Caenorhabditis elegans: one gene and its partner. The protein of the gene in region 1 purifies or fractionates together with the protein of each later gene. This does not show direct contact. Each region holds a gene or a part of one and is shown in the gene's direction. Other genes may lie near its edges.

The links. Proteins that work in one complex are often made in the same cells at the same time.
Region 2: the proteins of F09C8.1 (region 1) and acox-3 fractionate together in Caenorhabditis elegans (co-fractionation; one large-scale study listed by BioGRID). This does not show direct contact.

The regions. Positions count from the first base shown.
Region 1 is NC_003284.9:16,157,345-16,165,900, reverse strand, and holds F09C8.1 (Triacylglycerol lipase), read left to right. Parts: upstream 1-2,376; 5' UTR 2,377-2,403; coding exon 2,404-2,422; intron 2,423-2,469; coding exon 2,470-2,639; intron 2,640-3,203; coding exon 3,204-3,315; intron 3,316-3,363; coding exon 3,364-3,530; intron 3,531-3,578; coding exon 3,579-3,662; intron 3,663-4,703; coding exon 4,704-4,861; intron 4,862-4,916; coding exon 4,917-4,971; intron 4,972-5,056; coding exon 5,057-5,176; intron 5,177-5,297; coding exon 5,298-5,468; intron 5,469-6,105; coding exon 6,106-6,174; 3' UTR 6,175-6,253; downstream 6,254-8,556.
Region 2 is NC_003282.8:6,243,119-6,251,310, reverse strand, and holds acox-3 (Acyl-coenzyme A oxidase acox-3), read left to right. Parts: upstream 1-2,818; 5' UTR 2,819-2,831; coding exon 2,832-2,930; intron 2,931-2,974; coding exon 2,975-3,106; intron 3,107-3,152; coding exon 3,153-3,320; intron 3,321-3,480; coding exon 3,481-3,622; intron 3,623-3,674; coding exon 3,675-3,996; intron 3,997-4,157; exon of another isoform or gene 4,158-4,178; intron 4,179-4,307; exon of another isoform or gene 4,308-4,329; intron 4,330-4,473; coding exon 4,474-4,574; intron 4,575-4,621; coding exon 4,622-4,718; intron 4,719-4,766; coding exon 4,767-4,940; intron 4,941-5,042; coding exon 5,043-5,157; intron 5,158-5,207; coding exon 5,208-5,749; intron 5,750-5,800; coding exon 5,801-5,912; 3' UTR 5,913-5,953; downstream 5,954-8,192. UniProt on the Caenorhabditis elegans protein: Involved in the first step of peroxisomal beta-oxidation by catalyzing the desaturation of fatty acid-derived side chains of ascaroside pheromones, which regulates development and behavior.

The DNA.
Region 1 (8,556 bases):
AATGTTCACATTTCCACAAATTCCTTGTTGGTTGAAAAAGTTCAAACATTTAATACTGTAACTTATTAATGCACCAAAGTAGAAATTGCATGTAAATCAGATAACGGAACATTTCCACCCTATCTGTAGCATGCGTTGCAAACTATTTGTTACCTCTTCAATTGTACGTGTAATTTTTTGATCGTTTGATTTTGATGATAATTTTCAGATGGTTGGGCAGAAAAACTTCCTTGTTGAGGATTTACGTGAAACTCAAAAAATCCATATTGTAAATGGTATACGGTACGACACGCTAGTCGTGATAGTAAATTCTAAAAATGCGGTTTTTCGATTGTTTATTTCAAGTGTTAATAGGTAATTGCAATTTTTTCAGTATGAAAACAATTAGTGATGTGCGCATAATATTTCAGAAGGCGTATTGTACAGATCTATATTGAGGGCAGGGCAACTTGCTTGAATGTCAAAATTTGTGCACGCACTGTGACCAATTGCATGTTGCAGTAAGTGTACTATTTTCGGTTTTCTTGGCGATGTGTGAATTGTGCGTTTACAGCAAATGTGTAATTATTTAGAGTGAGGAATAATGGCTCAATTTTTTTCAAGAGTTAACAATTAAATAAAAAATCATTCACCGGATTTTTCATAACAAAATACGTTAAAAATCTGAAAATTTCGAAAACTTTTAAGAAAACTTTAAAAAAAAACAAAAAAAAACTAGACAGTATATTGAAAATATAAATTTTTATGTACTATGTAATTAACAGGCGGAAAAATTACGGCAATTGTTCACATAACAATTTTTGAAAAAAAAGTCATTCAATGAAGTATGTTTGAACACCTCCGGTTCTGCAACAACCATCTTAGTCTTCCTAAATTCTTATATAATTTTAACAGTGCAGAGTTGAAGCAAACTTTATGAGCACAAATACTTGTTTTCTGAAAGTATTAAAAAAATATTCTAGCTTCAGATAAGTTTTCTAATTTTCTAGATAACATGTCGAACAAATCTTACAATTTTTAGACGTTTGTAAAATCATTCTTGATTAATGATCGGTTATTACTCTTGGTTTCTTTTTGTCGTTGATTCGCTGAAAAAATTACAGTAACATTTTCTGCTCGACGCCCAATTTCACATGTGCAAAAAAACTAATTGATCAGAGGTCGGTGAATTCTGCAAATGATGGACGTCAAGATAAGACAAAAAACGATCAGAATTCAGCAACGTTTGAAATTGTACATATTTGGTAATGAATTTGGAGACCATATTTTTCATGCTGAAGTTGAAAATTCATTTTGAGAGAAACTTACTAAGCCGGAATCCAATAATGAAAAGTACTTCAGATTTGTGAAAAATGGGTAAGATTGTCAAAATTCAAACAACACAGATACACACAACACAGAAAATTCAACACAGAAAATTCAAATTCAATATTTTTTCAATTTTAATATCTTGAAACTAAACCTACTAAAACATCCTACACATTACAGCATTTGTTTTCCAAAATCAGCAAAAATTATATGAGGTAATTCGGGTTATTACTTTATGAGGGATAAAATGACCCAAAATGCAAATGTTCGTAATAAGACGTATAAAATTTTTTTCAATTTTTTTTCAGCGAAAGTATTGAATTTTAAAATATGTTGATGTGACAAAAGTTAAGAGAACATGTTCATTAAATTGAAAATTATTTTCGGCGAGCCATTGCCAACCCAAGCATTTTTAACGCATACAACTTTTTTTCTGAAATTTTGTTTCTTCGAAACATAGAACCGTTTTGAAAATTTTCATATGCATATTTCTAATTAGATGTGGCTAATTTCTTATTGGATGTGGATAATTTCTAATTAGATAAAAAATGGGGTTGTCTGAGAATATTGAGTTTTGGTTTTTGAGGTTTTGGGACAAATTGAGCAAAAATTTCCACAGCCTCTGAAACTATATTAGTGAAATTAAATGGAGATCTTGTTAAGTAAATTACTTTGTTTATAGAATCGATTACATCCAGTAAACCCAGAAAAAATGTACACATCGTCAAAACATTGTGCTTTAGTTTTTTTTCAAAATTTTTGGAATCTAGGGTGCCGGTGATCAATAGTATTTCCTAAGCTAACGGTTACTAAAAAATTAGTCTTCCATGCAAGGTAATATCAAATAATAGAGTAATTTTCTCAGACCTCCTCAATTTTTTTTCCAGAAAAAATCACGTGTCGCAAACTTCCTTGTAATGAATATCAGATCGACTAGAAACCACAAGAAATGACGAAGAATACCGTTTCCGCGCTTCCTGCTCAACACGTGGGGACATCAACTGATAAGAATTAAATGGCCACGGGCAACGATCAGATCTTGATAAGGGATCATCTTCAGTTAGTTTCGGCAATTGAGTTGATACTTGTGCAAACATGTGGAGGAGAGTTTTCGGTGAGATAAAATCGTTTTTTTTGTAGATTTCTAACAGGAATTTTCAGTGTTTTCTTGCATTTTCTTATATGTTCTTGCTACTTTACCGGATTTCGGTATACCCGGATATAGCTGTGATGCAAATGTAATGAAAAAGAGTAAAAAAGTGCCAACAAATGTGAACTCCGTACGACCAGCAGATATCAAGCTGATCATGGCACTAGGAGATTCTCTGACGGTAGGTGGTCTTTTTTCTAGTCAGGTTAAGAATTTCAAATTAGGATAAGCTGTAAGGAGGTGGATGCTTGAGAATAACTTAGAAAGTGCAAAGAGTTCGAAAAAAGTTGTTCTTCAAAGTTGAAACAAGATACGTTCTGGAAATAGAAACACCTGGCGTAGATCATCTAAAAGAAAATTTTTTAACCAAGTCCCAACCAAATATTCTAGCTCGAGAAATATATGATTATAAAAGTTCAAATCCTTCTACTTACGTTCAAAATTTGTCTAATTTGCTCAAAATCGACTCTTATAAGTTGAAGAAAGTATTGTAGTGTTCCATACCATTCATATCATGAGAAAAAACACGGTCAATTTTTTAGAGTTTTTTTCAGATTCCCATAGCGTTTATAGCTAACAAAAAACGTTGCCACTTTTTCTTGGCCAACCTTCTTCTGGCGGCTTGGTAGTTTTCAGGCAATTCCAAATTAGTATAGTTTACTAATTTTTTTAGTTTACTCGTACTTTACATACTTAATTACTCAATTTCATGGGCACTTTTCCTGAAAATGGAATCAATATTTAGGCCGCAAATGGAGCTGGTGCCGAGGATCCGGTAGCAGTCGTTCTGCAATATCGTGGTCTTGCATTCCAAGCCGGAGGTGACAAGACATTAGAAGAACACGTCACTATTCCAAGTAATTGGCATTTTTTTAATTTTCCAAAAATTTGCTAATCTATTCCAGATATTCTCAAAAAATACAATCCAGACGTGTTTGGATATTCTAATGGAATCGGGTCTCCAAATGTCTGGGAAATTGCTCGTCTCAATGTTGCCATGCCAGGAGCTAACGCGAAGGATCTTCCAGGACAGGCCCGGCAATTGGTACAACTTCTCCAGCAGCATACAGAGGTTGGTCAAGAGCTTTTTTGCTTTTCAGTCAAAAAAATTCCATTTAAGGTTGTAAACATGAAGGAGGATTGGAAGTTGTTGAACATTTTCATTGGAGGAAATGACATTTGTGGTTATTGCAGAAAACCAGTGGTGAGGTTATTAGGTTTTATTGATGATGGGTAGTAGGAATTATTTTCGATTAAATCTAGGGCTCCCATGTCGGCGCCACAAACGAATGCGCTAAACCCAAAAAGTGTCGGACGCGGAGCAAAATTTGCACCAAATATTGCCACACTCTATCGCACTATTTGCAGCAAACTTAGCTCCGCTGTCGACTCTTTTTGTGTTCCGCGCATTGCTATAAAAATTTCGGATCGGCGGTTTTTGATGCCGACATGGGAGCCCTAATTGGATCAGACGCAGATCAAATAAGATATGTCTTTATTGTGGATACCATAAAATTAAAAATTTCAATGCTCAAAGAGCAAAACATTTACGCCATTACATCATAAATGCTAATTTTGTAGCAGTCGTAATTCTGAGTTCTATACAGTTTGTTTCAACATATGATTGTCGATTATGCCGTTCTTGGTGTGTAAATCATACTTGTTTTATGATTTTGTTCTCAGGAATATCAATCAAAGGGGGCGTAGAGTTTGTGGTATTTAGGTTGAATAGACTAAAACTGATTCAAAATCGCCGAATTTCATAATGAGACTTCACAAAACATTTCCAAAATTTTTTTATGGCCGCTCAAAATTTCGAAAAAAAGAGCCAAATTTTGCCAATTTTGATCATTTTTGGATGCCTATCGGCCTAAAAGTTGTCTCAATCATCGAATATCCACGAGATAAATTACCAAAATAAAGATTAAAAAAGTGATAACTGCAGAAAAACTAAAATCCAGCAGCTGTGACAAAGAAAAGTGTGCGAAATTTCAGATTTTAGCCAAATTTGGCTCTTTTTTTCGAAATTTTGACTGCAAAAATTTTGAAATGTTTTTTTTTGGGAAAAGATAATATTCATTTTTGATCTAAAAAACGTAAGAATTATATCACACGTTGCATAAATAAGCAATTCATACTTCGAAATGCAATGCATATAAAATAACGTAAACGTAGCTTTAAGGCCCTAATCCTGTTGATTAGGTACTACTCTCTATCCCATCTAAATATTTGTTTCTAATTCCAGGAGGATTCCCCATACAACTGCGCGCAGGACATCAAACAAGCCGTGCAAATAATTTACGATAATGTTCCACGTGTCATTGTTTCCCTCACAGGAATGTTGCATCTCGAGATGCTGCGCCAAACTGATACCGGCCACTGGTTCTGTCAACGTTTGCATCAGTATGTTGCAAAACCCTATTTATTGACACAAAAATAATACATACCGTTTTTGCAGTGACGAGTGCGGCTGCGAGAGCAATAAGAACTTCACCGATGCTGATATCAGACAGGTGGGTGGGGAGTGGGATTTTAAGCTTCCAAAGCTTCGATAATTATTAAAAATAATTTAAACTTTTTATAAAGAGCTTGTTGCAGGCTTGCTATGATTATAACAAGTACGAAAAACAAATTGAGACCGACGGAACTTTTGAGAAAAACGACTTCACATATGTGGTTCAACCAATGTTCCAAGATACTTTGATTCCCCCAATGGAAGTGAGTGATCGATATTTGAATGTTTCGACACTTTTTTCGAAACTTTTCAAAACCATGACGTGATGCAAAAATTTTGTCATGCTTGCAAACATAGCAAAATACAAACATACAAACTGTTCAGAATGGAAAACCAACTCAAAAGTTCTTCGCACCGGATTGCTTCCATTTCTCACAATGGGGACATGCTCTTGTGAGCACTTATCTTTGGAATAACATTTTACAGCCAGTTGGCTCAAAATCTACAGTTTCAAACATGTCAGTGCCACTTCAGACATTGGCCTGCCCAGATGCGGTAAGTTCAGTTATCAAGGGAACCATCACATATGTATTAGTAAGGAAAAAAGGTTTTTGAAGGTCTAAACTTTTTTGATTGTTTTTTGCATCAAAGACGGATTTTTCCGAAGTTTTGAAAAATAACTAACCAGGCGTAATCCTACAGTACTGAGTGTTAGTTATGAAAAATAGTAGTAGTACACTCGGAGGTGGGTAACAAAAAGCAACATAAAATATTCTGTCAGAAAGTTGTCCACCGCAAACTTCGATTTATGTCGGCTGCAAATTCCACAACTGCGCGTGGTGTCAGGTTGTTCCATAAAGGTTTGATCTACAAAAAAATGCGGGAATTTTTTCCTCAAAAAATGTGACGTCAGCACGTTTTTAACTATGCAAAGTTAATTGAGGAGTCTGCTCCTAATATCCCGCACTTTTTGTAGATCACAACGAAATGCGACATTCTGACACCACGTGCAACTATAATGAGATAACATAGATCAAACCAAAATCTACAGGCCTAAGTTCACAGTATAAAGAAAAAACCATTATTTCTTTATTGGAACTTATCTTTAGCAGTTTGGAACTGAAAACAAAAATCTGGAATTTTGTTTTTTATTCCATAATACTACCTTATCTCAAATAGGAACATTTTTCAGGCTTGCCCCTTCATCCGAACACCTAAGAACAGCCAGGACTGTAGTCAATACATGACCCCTCATGCTTAATAATTTTATGATATATTTATATTCGATATGTGTGTTTGTATCAAAATTGTCTATATTCATATGAAAATTTTCGACTCGCTATGTTTTTTGATTTGCATAATACCCCCCTCGTTATCATATTTCGAATTTCATTATTGCGAAAGAGAGGCGAGTGTGTACAAAGTATGCCGAGGGCACAAGAAAATGGAAACCTTTTTTCAGGTGACACAAAATAATGTGCGCGCATTTGTCATCACCTCCCACCCCGTCCTAACAACATCACTCCTTTTTTTGTTGCTGTATAATAATAATAAGAATGCATTCTCATTCCACATTTTCTTTTTTTTCATTCTAGCTCAGATGGGCGGAACTAATAAAATTATTGAGCAAATAAGTGCTCTGGATGTGGGTGGCGGCTTAGACTTGTGTGCATTTTCTTTAAAGGATTACTTTTTCGAATTATTATTTTCCGATAATCTTATCCTCATTCTTCTTATATTATCAATTTTTTAGTGATTTATTTGACTTTCTTAGTTTAAGCTTTTTTTTTGTAGTTTTTTCTAAATATTTTGGGTGCCAATTCTTATAAATTATTGTACTCTGAATCATACATATTTAAGATTGATATCGCGTGTCAAAATTTTTCATTCTACTGTCTATCTCCTTGGATTTTATTTTTTCCCAAGTATTTAGAGAAATTTGAATTTCACACTCAAAAATATATTCATCAGTCTATTAATGTTTTGTTAGTTGATCAAATTTTGATCAGGAAAAAAATTAGATAGGATGAGTTGCAGTGTTTTGATCCTCGTTTCTAGCATAATTCGGCAATTAAGAAACCTATGATTTAGAAAGATTAGAAATAACTATAAGAGCATTTTAAAAAGATTTTCAAATTTCAAGATGGACTATCGTCAAAGGGGATTTGGTCAAAATGTGTTCATTATAGTTTAACATAACCAAATATCATACTAAAATAATCCAAAAATTTTTAGATTTCTCAAAGGTTTCGGTCTATATTTTAGTAAACTGACAGATAGATATGATATATGGTATCTGCCATATGGTATATGGTATATGGTAAATGGTATATACTATATGGCATATGGTATATGGTATATGATATATGGTATATGGTATATGGTATATGGTATACGGTATACGGTATATGGTACATGGTATATGGTATTTGGTAATATGGTTTTAAATAGTATATGGTAATGATATATGATAAGTGTAGACATATGGTAAAAATGAGTGTTTTTCCATTTTTTGACAATAAATAAAAAACTTTAAAACTTTTAATCATTTATTATGGTATTTGCCAACTTGCTTCGCTTTAAACATTTTTAAGAACATTAATTTAAAATGGAACAATTCTAAGTTGTAAAAAGTTCAAAATATTTGAATCTCAAACTCTACACCAGCTTGTGCCAAAGTTATTTTCAATATTTTAGTTGTTAAAATTTGAAATTTCGAATTTGCAAAGAACTCATCTAAATTTTTTATACACTAGAAATTTGAAAATTAACCACAAAGTACGACTGATCTAGAAATGGGGTGTGGGGTGGGATGGCTCAGTCGGTAGTGGTGGTCGCTAGCAATCTGGAGGTCACGAGTTCAAGCCCGGTCTCACCCCCATAGGTCCACCCAGTTTCTATTGAGAAGGGGAGCTATCCACGACTGGATTATTGGTCACAGTCCCCGCTTGGACGTGGCTTAAATCATGGTTCAGTAGGAGCACAACCATACAGTGTACCTGAATCACTGCTCCGCCGTGCATAGCGCTTGAAGAACAGTTCAACCTTTGATCCTGTAATCCTCAAAACCACGAAGTACGATCTGATCTGGCAACATGCCAATGCCGTGTTTGTTTTCCATAAACATTTCAGCCTTTAATAGGCTTGCACAATATTGCTCTCGAATTTGGTTTACTGTGTAGGCCTTCCACAAAGGCAAGGCGCGAAGAGAGCACATCACGCTTGCCCTACTCCCGCACGCCCGTGCGTCCGCACTGTGTACTGCGGCCGACGCTACGCGGGACCACCTCGCGCCATGGCTTGAGGGCGGCGGGAGTGTGGGGCGTGGTGTGGTGCAGGTGGGCAATAGTATTTAGCACCCTCGTGAAAGGCATATTACTGTGTGGGAACTTTGGTAATTTCCTGAATCTGCAGAGTGATTGGAACATATTCAAAGAGCCAGTGAAATCATAGAGAATATGTTTTCTCTGGCATGAAGGCAGGTTTTGGTTCATGCAAAGTTATGGGCCATTGAAAATATAGTCTTGCAGCCTCTATAATGACCAATATACAAATCGAAAAATTAGTATTGCATGCAAAACTAATCGATAAAACGCGGTAAATATAATTAAAACAAATCCAAAGAACACATTGCCCATTTTCA
Region 2 (8,192 bases), on another chromosome or scaffold:
TAACGGTAATGAGGAAAACATGCCAAATACGAAGAATCTAATTATAATTAAACTATAGTGTCGACAATCGGATTTCTCATAAAATCAAGTGAGAAAATTTGGTCAAATTCTGCATATACTATGCAGTAAAGACCGCCGACGGGAACCTTTTCTCGGAAATTTAAACGAATGCTGACGTTTGTCTGTCGCACCAACTCAAATAGTGAAGTGTCCTGAGCAACGGGACTCAATTCAAAACCAAAAATCGTATATCCGCCTTCTTTAAACATTTGGGTGCTAATAGAATTACATGTGGAATTGCTTCGCGAGTGACCGAGGGTTTCTTGAAGTTGAATGTATGCCTCCATAAACTTGTTTCTGTCAAAATCTAAGGCAAAAGGGCGGCCGGGGAGTGTCATTCCACAATAATCAACATGTATATCAGATATACCATGTGGTTTGAAATTGAATGGTGATTTATCATAAGAGCCATTGTACGCGTCAGAATCAACAAGACCAATGAAAATTCGACGGGGCATCTTGCTTGTGAAGAGTGTGTTAGCCGGCGCGTCAAGACGTCCAGACTCTATATAGAAACTGCGCACCTGTGAAGATATTAGAGGATATTGGATTATTTTGTGCTCAATAATGGAGCTCTCTAGAGCATTAGATAGACCGTCGGCAAGATCGAATTCGTTAACCAGAGCGTAAACGTCGGTTATTTTGAACTGAAACTCTGTGTTGTTGTCGCGATTGTAAACCTCAATCAAAAATTTACTATCATTTGGGTAAACTGTAAGTTTCACATTACAACCGTTCAAGAGCACTCGCGGCTGATTCATCAAGTCAATCGAAATGTTTGCCGCAACTTGTATTTCGTCCTGGTTGTAAATTGAGGCACAACGCTGTTGAAACCCAGGACTACGGTGGTCGCCAATCACAGGGTCATGATAGAAACCGGCCGCGGTTAGAGTGGAGTTTTGAATTTCCTTCCCGTACATTAAAACGTGTTCAAAATAGCTCTTGTACGCATAGTTTGACGAGTTGTGAAAAGCTAATTGTGAATTAATGTGTAGTGTGAAATTTCAGATCGACTAGTTTTCCGGTCACAACTCGGATCCCCGTTTTCAATGCACAACTTTACGATCCACACATTTCAACGTTTTATACACTAATTAATGCCAGAAACTTATTCGCAACATTGGCACACATGAAGCAATAATTAATAGGCACACACGGTTTTCAGTGAAATTCCTCAATTATTCTAAAACGGGGGACCAACCGAGAAATTTGCAAAAATGCGCAACTTTAAGTCTTTTGCACAACTATTCCCACTATACTACTAACTTACTCTAATTGCTTGATGTTTAAGCAATAAAATAACAGAAAAATAACATAGTATGATATATTGCATAAAAGAAGATAGGACCGCCACCAAGCAGTCGAAGAAGGCAGAATGAGTGATTTCTTCTTCAGAAAATGGGCGGGTTTGTGGCTTCTCTGACTCTCTCAAAAGCTCAGAATGTGTGACGTTAGAGCTAGAGATTATTGAAATGTAGGAGGTTTTGAGAGATTAGCAAAAAAGGAAAAAAGGATTAGAAATGTTTTCAAGCTCTTCTTTATGCCAAGATCATGAAACGAAAGACTTGTTTGAGAAGAGGGAAATAAGATTATGAAATTATGAAAAAAGATGGAAAATAAATAGTTTTAATTGTATTTCAATCATGCTTCAATTGGCCAACTCTTGTGTTCAAATTTAAATTAAACAAAAAAATTATTATGCTGTTTCACGAATACTATATGAACAGAGGCATTTTCTCTGTTTTGATATTGAAACTTCAGCTGAAAAAAAGATCTCGTAAAAACAGTCTTGATCATGAATTAAACTAATCTCTTCTTGTTAATGTTAGTAATGATAGAAAAATATTGCCTGAACTTTGTGGTTCCACTTATTTTAACTTATAAAATAGTGAAACGCATCTAGTAATTCGAAGAAAAAGCAAACTCTCTATTGAGGTTTTCAACAAAATCACAAAGTTGGCAATCACATTTTTTTCCAAATTCCACAAAATTGATGAGTAGGTTTTATCGGACACCTAATATAATTGCTCAAGTCAGAGCAAACCTATTATTATTATCAGTAATTTCAAGTTTTGGTAGTTCAGCCAAAATTGATTTCGGGAAAACTATGAAACCGCTAAAAATGTTTACATCAAAGTCTAAACTGCAAAAATGTTGGAAAATATTGTAAAAGTATGAAATATTGAAGTTAAAGTGCTAATAATTTTTAATTTAATTTTAATTTAATTTAATTTTTATTTTGACCAGTACGCTCCTGGAAATGTGTTACCCCCACTTTCGCCAAAACTGTATTTAGAAATTTTTTAGCGTATTTTTATTTAAAAACATGTTTTACACTTATGGAAATAATACTAAATTTTTTATTATCCACTACGTTGTTTTAAACTATTTACTTGTCCACATTCTCTCTCCGAGCCCACTTTAAAACAAGGAAACATGAATTTTCTGTAAAATTTCAGTTAATTTCCTCTGACCCTTTTTACAAACACCAGCTAATTACAATCTACTACGATAATTTTAAAAGACCATTCCTCCCCCTATTTATACAATACCACCACGCTGTAGTCAGACTGTCTTCGATCTCTGCGTCTCTCAATTACTTTCTATTTTCTTTGTTTTTGATAAGACTACACTCTTCCTACCCAGTACATATGCAATTGCTTTTGTCTTAATTTTGTTCAGTTTATTTTAACATATATTCTGCTGAAAATAAAATGAATCTTTTGAATTTAAAGGATTTATTTAGTAAATTTTTCAGTTTCAGATCAAAAATGAGTGCTCCTTTAATTGACAAATACCGGAAAATGGCAACTTTCGACTGGAAAAAATTGAAAGCAGCCGTTGAAGGAGAAGAACATGTTAGACTGAAGGTATAGTAGATTTTGGATTTATAAAATATTTATATATATTTCAGTCAGAAGTAGTTGCTAAAATGAAGTCAGAACCAGTATTTCACAGAGATTATCGAGTATTGAGTAGAGAAGAGCAAAGAGAAGTTGTTCATCAGAGATGGAAGAAAATTGTCGAATGGGGGTTGTTCAAAGATGTATTTCTTATTAAATTGTAGATTTTCAATATATTCGAATATTCAGCCGTACTCCGATCTTGAAAACTTCCATGCATTGACTGAAACTCTTGAAGCTTATGATCAAGGCACATCTGCAAGGCTTTTCCTCCACGGAAATGTTTTTGGAGCAGCTGTTAAGTCAATGGGAACAGATAGACATAAGGATTTGATTCAGAAAACTGAAAACAATGAGGTGAATTTCAAAGAAAATAGCATACAAAATTAAGAAGTACTCAAGAAAAAGAAAAATCAAAACAAATTTGAAAATAATTTATTCTAAAGAAATTTAAACAAAAGCGCATTGTATTCAAATCTGGAAAGTTTAGGTTTCCTTGCAAAATAGCAAATTTCAGATCGTCGGAGCATTTTGTCTGACAGAAGTAGGCCATGGTTCAAACACTGCTGAAATTCAAACAACAGCTACATTTGACAATGGAGAACTTGTTTTCAATACTCCAAGTGTCAGTGCAATCAAATGTTGGGCTGGAAATCTCGGTGGGTTTTAAAACATTTTTAATTTTAAATTTAAAAAAATCCATTTTTTTAGCTCACTCGGCCACTCACGTAGTTGTTTATGCTCAACTTCATGTCGAAGGAAAGAACGAGGGATTTCATGGATTTGTGATTCAAGTTCGTTGCCCTAGAACTTTCCAAACTCTACCAGGAATTACCATTGGAGACATGGGCTCGAAACCAGGATGCTGGCAGGGAGTAGAAAATGGCTGGATGGAGTTTAAGAACCATAGAGCTCCTCTGAGTGCACTTTTGAATAAGGGTTGTGATATTACTCCGGATGGAAAATATGTGACAAGTTTCAAATCTGCAAGTGAGAAGCAGAGTGTCAGTTTGGGAACATTGTCAGTTGGAAGGTATGTTTTCAATACTTTACGACGCCGGCCGTATAGAAAAATTTTTTAATTGAGTGAAATTTGTATCTAAAAGAATTTCTGTTAAAAAAATCAGGTTCTGAAGAATTTCTAGCCGCTGTTTTACCAACTTTTTAAATGTGTTGTTTTTTTCTCAGTTTTAGTAGATACAAGATGCAAATTTCACGGCCGAGCCTTATTATCAATAAAAGCAAAATCTCAAAACGAATCTATTCCAGCTTTAATCGATACTTTTAAAATATGAATTGATTTTCTAGAGTGAAGCCATTGTATTTAATACAAATAGAAATAATGGAAATGGCATTCTTAGGACAATTCGAAATTGTAAAAGCAGACGAATTCATAAAGTTGGGAAAACAGTGCAATCTATAAGTTTTTCCGATTGATTTTTTTCAAACAAAATACTGTTTCAAAATTCAAACTTTACCAACAATGGTTTCACAATAACACAAATTTCAGACTCGGAATTATCGCAAAAGGAATGATGGCTTGCACTTTTGCATCTACAATTGCTATTCGATACAGTGTTGCTCGGCGACAGTTTGGACCAGTAAAAGGCGGTGAGCACCATTCCTTTTCTCAATTTCTCAACTTTTGTATAATTCAGCTGAAAATGAGATCCCAGTTCTCGAGTATCCACTTCAACAGTATCGTCTATTCCCGTACCTATCCGCTGCAATTTGCATTAGAATATTCCAGAAGAAGTGGGAACTCTAAACAAATTGTTTTCAATAATTAGTTAAACTTTATAGGTTTGTCGGACATTTCACTGAATATATGATGAGAGTCATAATGGGAGAAAAGTCAGACGAGCTCTCCGAGTTCTCAAAAGAAGTACATGCATTGTCGTCTGGAGCTAAACCGGTTGCAACGTGGCTTGGTGTAGAATCCCTTGGAGAAGCTAGAAAAGCTTGTGGAGGTCATGGGTATGTTTCCTAACATAACCTGAAACTTAACTTTAAGAAACTCATTTTTTGAGAATTCGTCTTTCTATTTTTTCCAGATTAAAGTTAAAATTTAAATTACAGATACCTACAAATGTCACGATTGAACACCCTCCGAGATGACAACGATCCATCACAAACATTTGAAGGAGAAAACTTTATGATTTTGCAACAAACCAGCAATATTTTGCTAGGAAAAGTAAACTTAATTGTCAGATTCTTTAATCATATTGAGATTCTGATGTTCAGGCTCAATCAATTGGATCCATTGAGACCCCGATGTCTACTATGTCATTCTTGAATCAAAAACCTTCAAAGTTCTCATCATGGTCTTCGAATCCAGTTAATGACGTGTTGTCTGCGTACCGATATCTCACTTATCACTTACTTCAAACAACTTCGGCAGAAGCTTACAGACTAAAAGCATCTGGAAAGAATTCATTCGAAGTTCGAAATGAAATTCAAATTCATAGAGCTGTCAATTTGTCTGTTGCATACACAGAACATACAATGATCCATTGGGTTCAACAGTTCTTGAAAGAAATTGAAGATCAAAGTGTGAAGCCGGTTCTTCAAAAAGTTTTGAATCTTTTCTCACTTTTCCTTTTGGAAAGACATCTTGCAACTCTTTATATTACTGGATATGCTTCTGGTGGAAAGTTTGGAGAAGATCTTCGAGAGAAGCTTAGACTCGCTGTAGCCGAATTAAAACCCGAGGCCATTGCTTTAGTGGACTCGATTGCTCCAGATGATTTCATTTTACATTCAGCTCTGGGAGCATCTGATGGAAAGTCAGTTTTAAAATGTAAAGGTTTCTGCTGAACTTTAAATTTGATTTTCAGAGCGTACGAGCATATAATGGAAGAATTCCGGAAGTATACAAATGAACAACCAAGATGGGTTTGCGATTTGGCTCAGTTTTTGCAAAAGAGATCACAAGGATCCAAGCTATAATATTTCACAAACTGTATATTTCCCAATAAATCCAGTTTTTGAATAAATTCAAAATATACAAACAATTTCAAATTTCTTTGAAAGCTAAAATTTTTGCAAAAAATAAAAATCTAAACGTATAAGCAAAGTTTTCAGATTTATACATATCGTCGACGTGAAACGGCAAAATTTTTTAAATGTTTAATTGAAAAAATTTATTAAAACTTTGGTACCCGGATGTCAGGAAATGCTTAAAAGGCTTCTAACACTGGAAAATAGTTTCTCATTTAGAACCAAAACGATAATGTTGCGTTAGTTTAAATGAATTTATATGATTAATGTGAAACGGGGAAAATTTAAAATAGTGATAGCGCCCACGGGGAAAATGTTTAAAACTATTTATTAAGTGCCAAAAATCATTGTAGAACTTTCACAATGTATTTATAAAATAATATTTATATGAAATAACACCAAAATTTAATTTATTTCCACGCCAATTTCTAATTTTACTTTAAAAACTGTTCTCACAATATTATTGTATCAATGTTGTCGCGAAGTCGATGAATACAAAGATTAACTCGCTCACGACTTTTATTTTTAATTTCTATTCTCCACGTGATAAAGAATCCATTTCACATATCTGGAGAATTTATAAATTTATCAACTCTCATTAATTTGCTAATTGGCTTGAAAGGGTTGTGCATCAAAAAGGTCTTCCGTTTGAAATTCTTCGCACGATGACAAATAATTTCAAAAATACAATTTTCAAAACTTAAAGTTTTTCAGAACTCGTCCGTCTGATTCTCCAATGTCAACTTTGTATTGCGTGCGAATAACTTCAGGAAACTCTACAAAGGCTCAGAAAGGCTGTAAAAGCTCGAACACAACTGAAGCTCCGTATACCAATGTTGCGTGATTTCAAAAAAGTGTTATACCATCAATGGGAAACGGTAAAAAGTTTTTTTTAATTTGTAGGTGCAAAATGCTTTGAAAATTTTTTGTTTCGAGATTTTAAAAATAGAATAACACAAATTTTTATCAAATTTCAAACAATAATCATTTGATACCATCCGTTAATATAATCTCCATTGTAATCATATTTCCAGTATAAAGAACCCATTTCACATGTGAAACTGATTGAAAGTTTTTCTAACCCTGATTCAATTGATGTCATTGCTCTACACGGACAAGTTGTTGTAGATTCAGTATTATTTCCTGTACAATTACAACCAGCACTTTCTGATAAACATCTTCGCGTTCTAATCCACATTGTATCGCCATCATTTCTTCCGTAACTGGAAAAAGAGCTCCAAATTCCTCCAATTGGACAACAATTATATGTTGAGTTAGAAACAGATGCAGCAGTTTCAGCGGCTGTTGTTAGTGGTCCACATTGAGTTGTTCCGTTCAGAACCATTGAGACATATGGAATACAACAAGTACGTTGAGCTGGATATGAACATGGTTATGTGTTGCACGGATAGTAGCGAGTTGCATTTCCACTGAAAAGAAATATTCTGATGTACATAAATAATGGTAGGAAAGTTTTTTCATCCTTGATTTTTTGCATTTTCTACAAGAATTTTTGGAGTGGAATTTTTTTTGAAATTTCACAAGTTATAGAAAACTACTCAAATGAAGTGTTTTGCAAGGTATTTTTTTCAGGTTTGGTTACACATCGATGCTCAATAATTGGGGAGAAATTGTGTTCCACCCTTAATGATACTATTCCTGGTGAATGGCGTGAGCAAATCTAATTTTGGAAGTTTCCAAGCATATCATACCTGTCACAAGGACAACTTATTTCCTCTGAAACGCAGGATAAGTTTTAGCACAAGAACCACAACTCGCTGAGCATTCGACACCTTCTGCATCAGCCCATTCACTCCATAAACCACCAGTTGGACAAGTCACGTTGATGGAACATGTCTTCAATTTTTAATTATTAAAAACTAAAAAAAATCTTTAAAAAACTCACAGAGCGATCTGCTCGACAAATTCCAGCAAGGAATGCCACCAAAATAAACACATGCCACATTTTGATCGTATTTAGTGGTTTATGAAAGATTTTATAGATATGGAGAATGGAAAGAGAAACTTCCATAAGAATTTCAATAAAACGAACAAACACCTGAGTCCAACAGTTTGGAGTTGATATGTGATATCTGATCAGTTGAGTATATCAGCATCAATTTTTGGAAAAGTGAATATCTGAATTTTTAATTTTTGAACTTTAGAACTTTATGATTTTAGTCGAACTAAAACTTATAATGGAATAAAAATTATTCAATAGAAACAAAA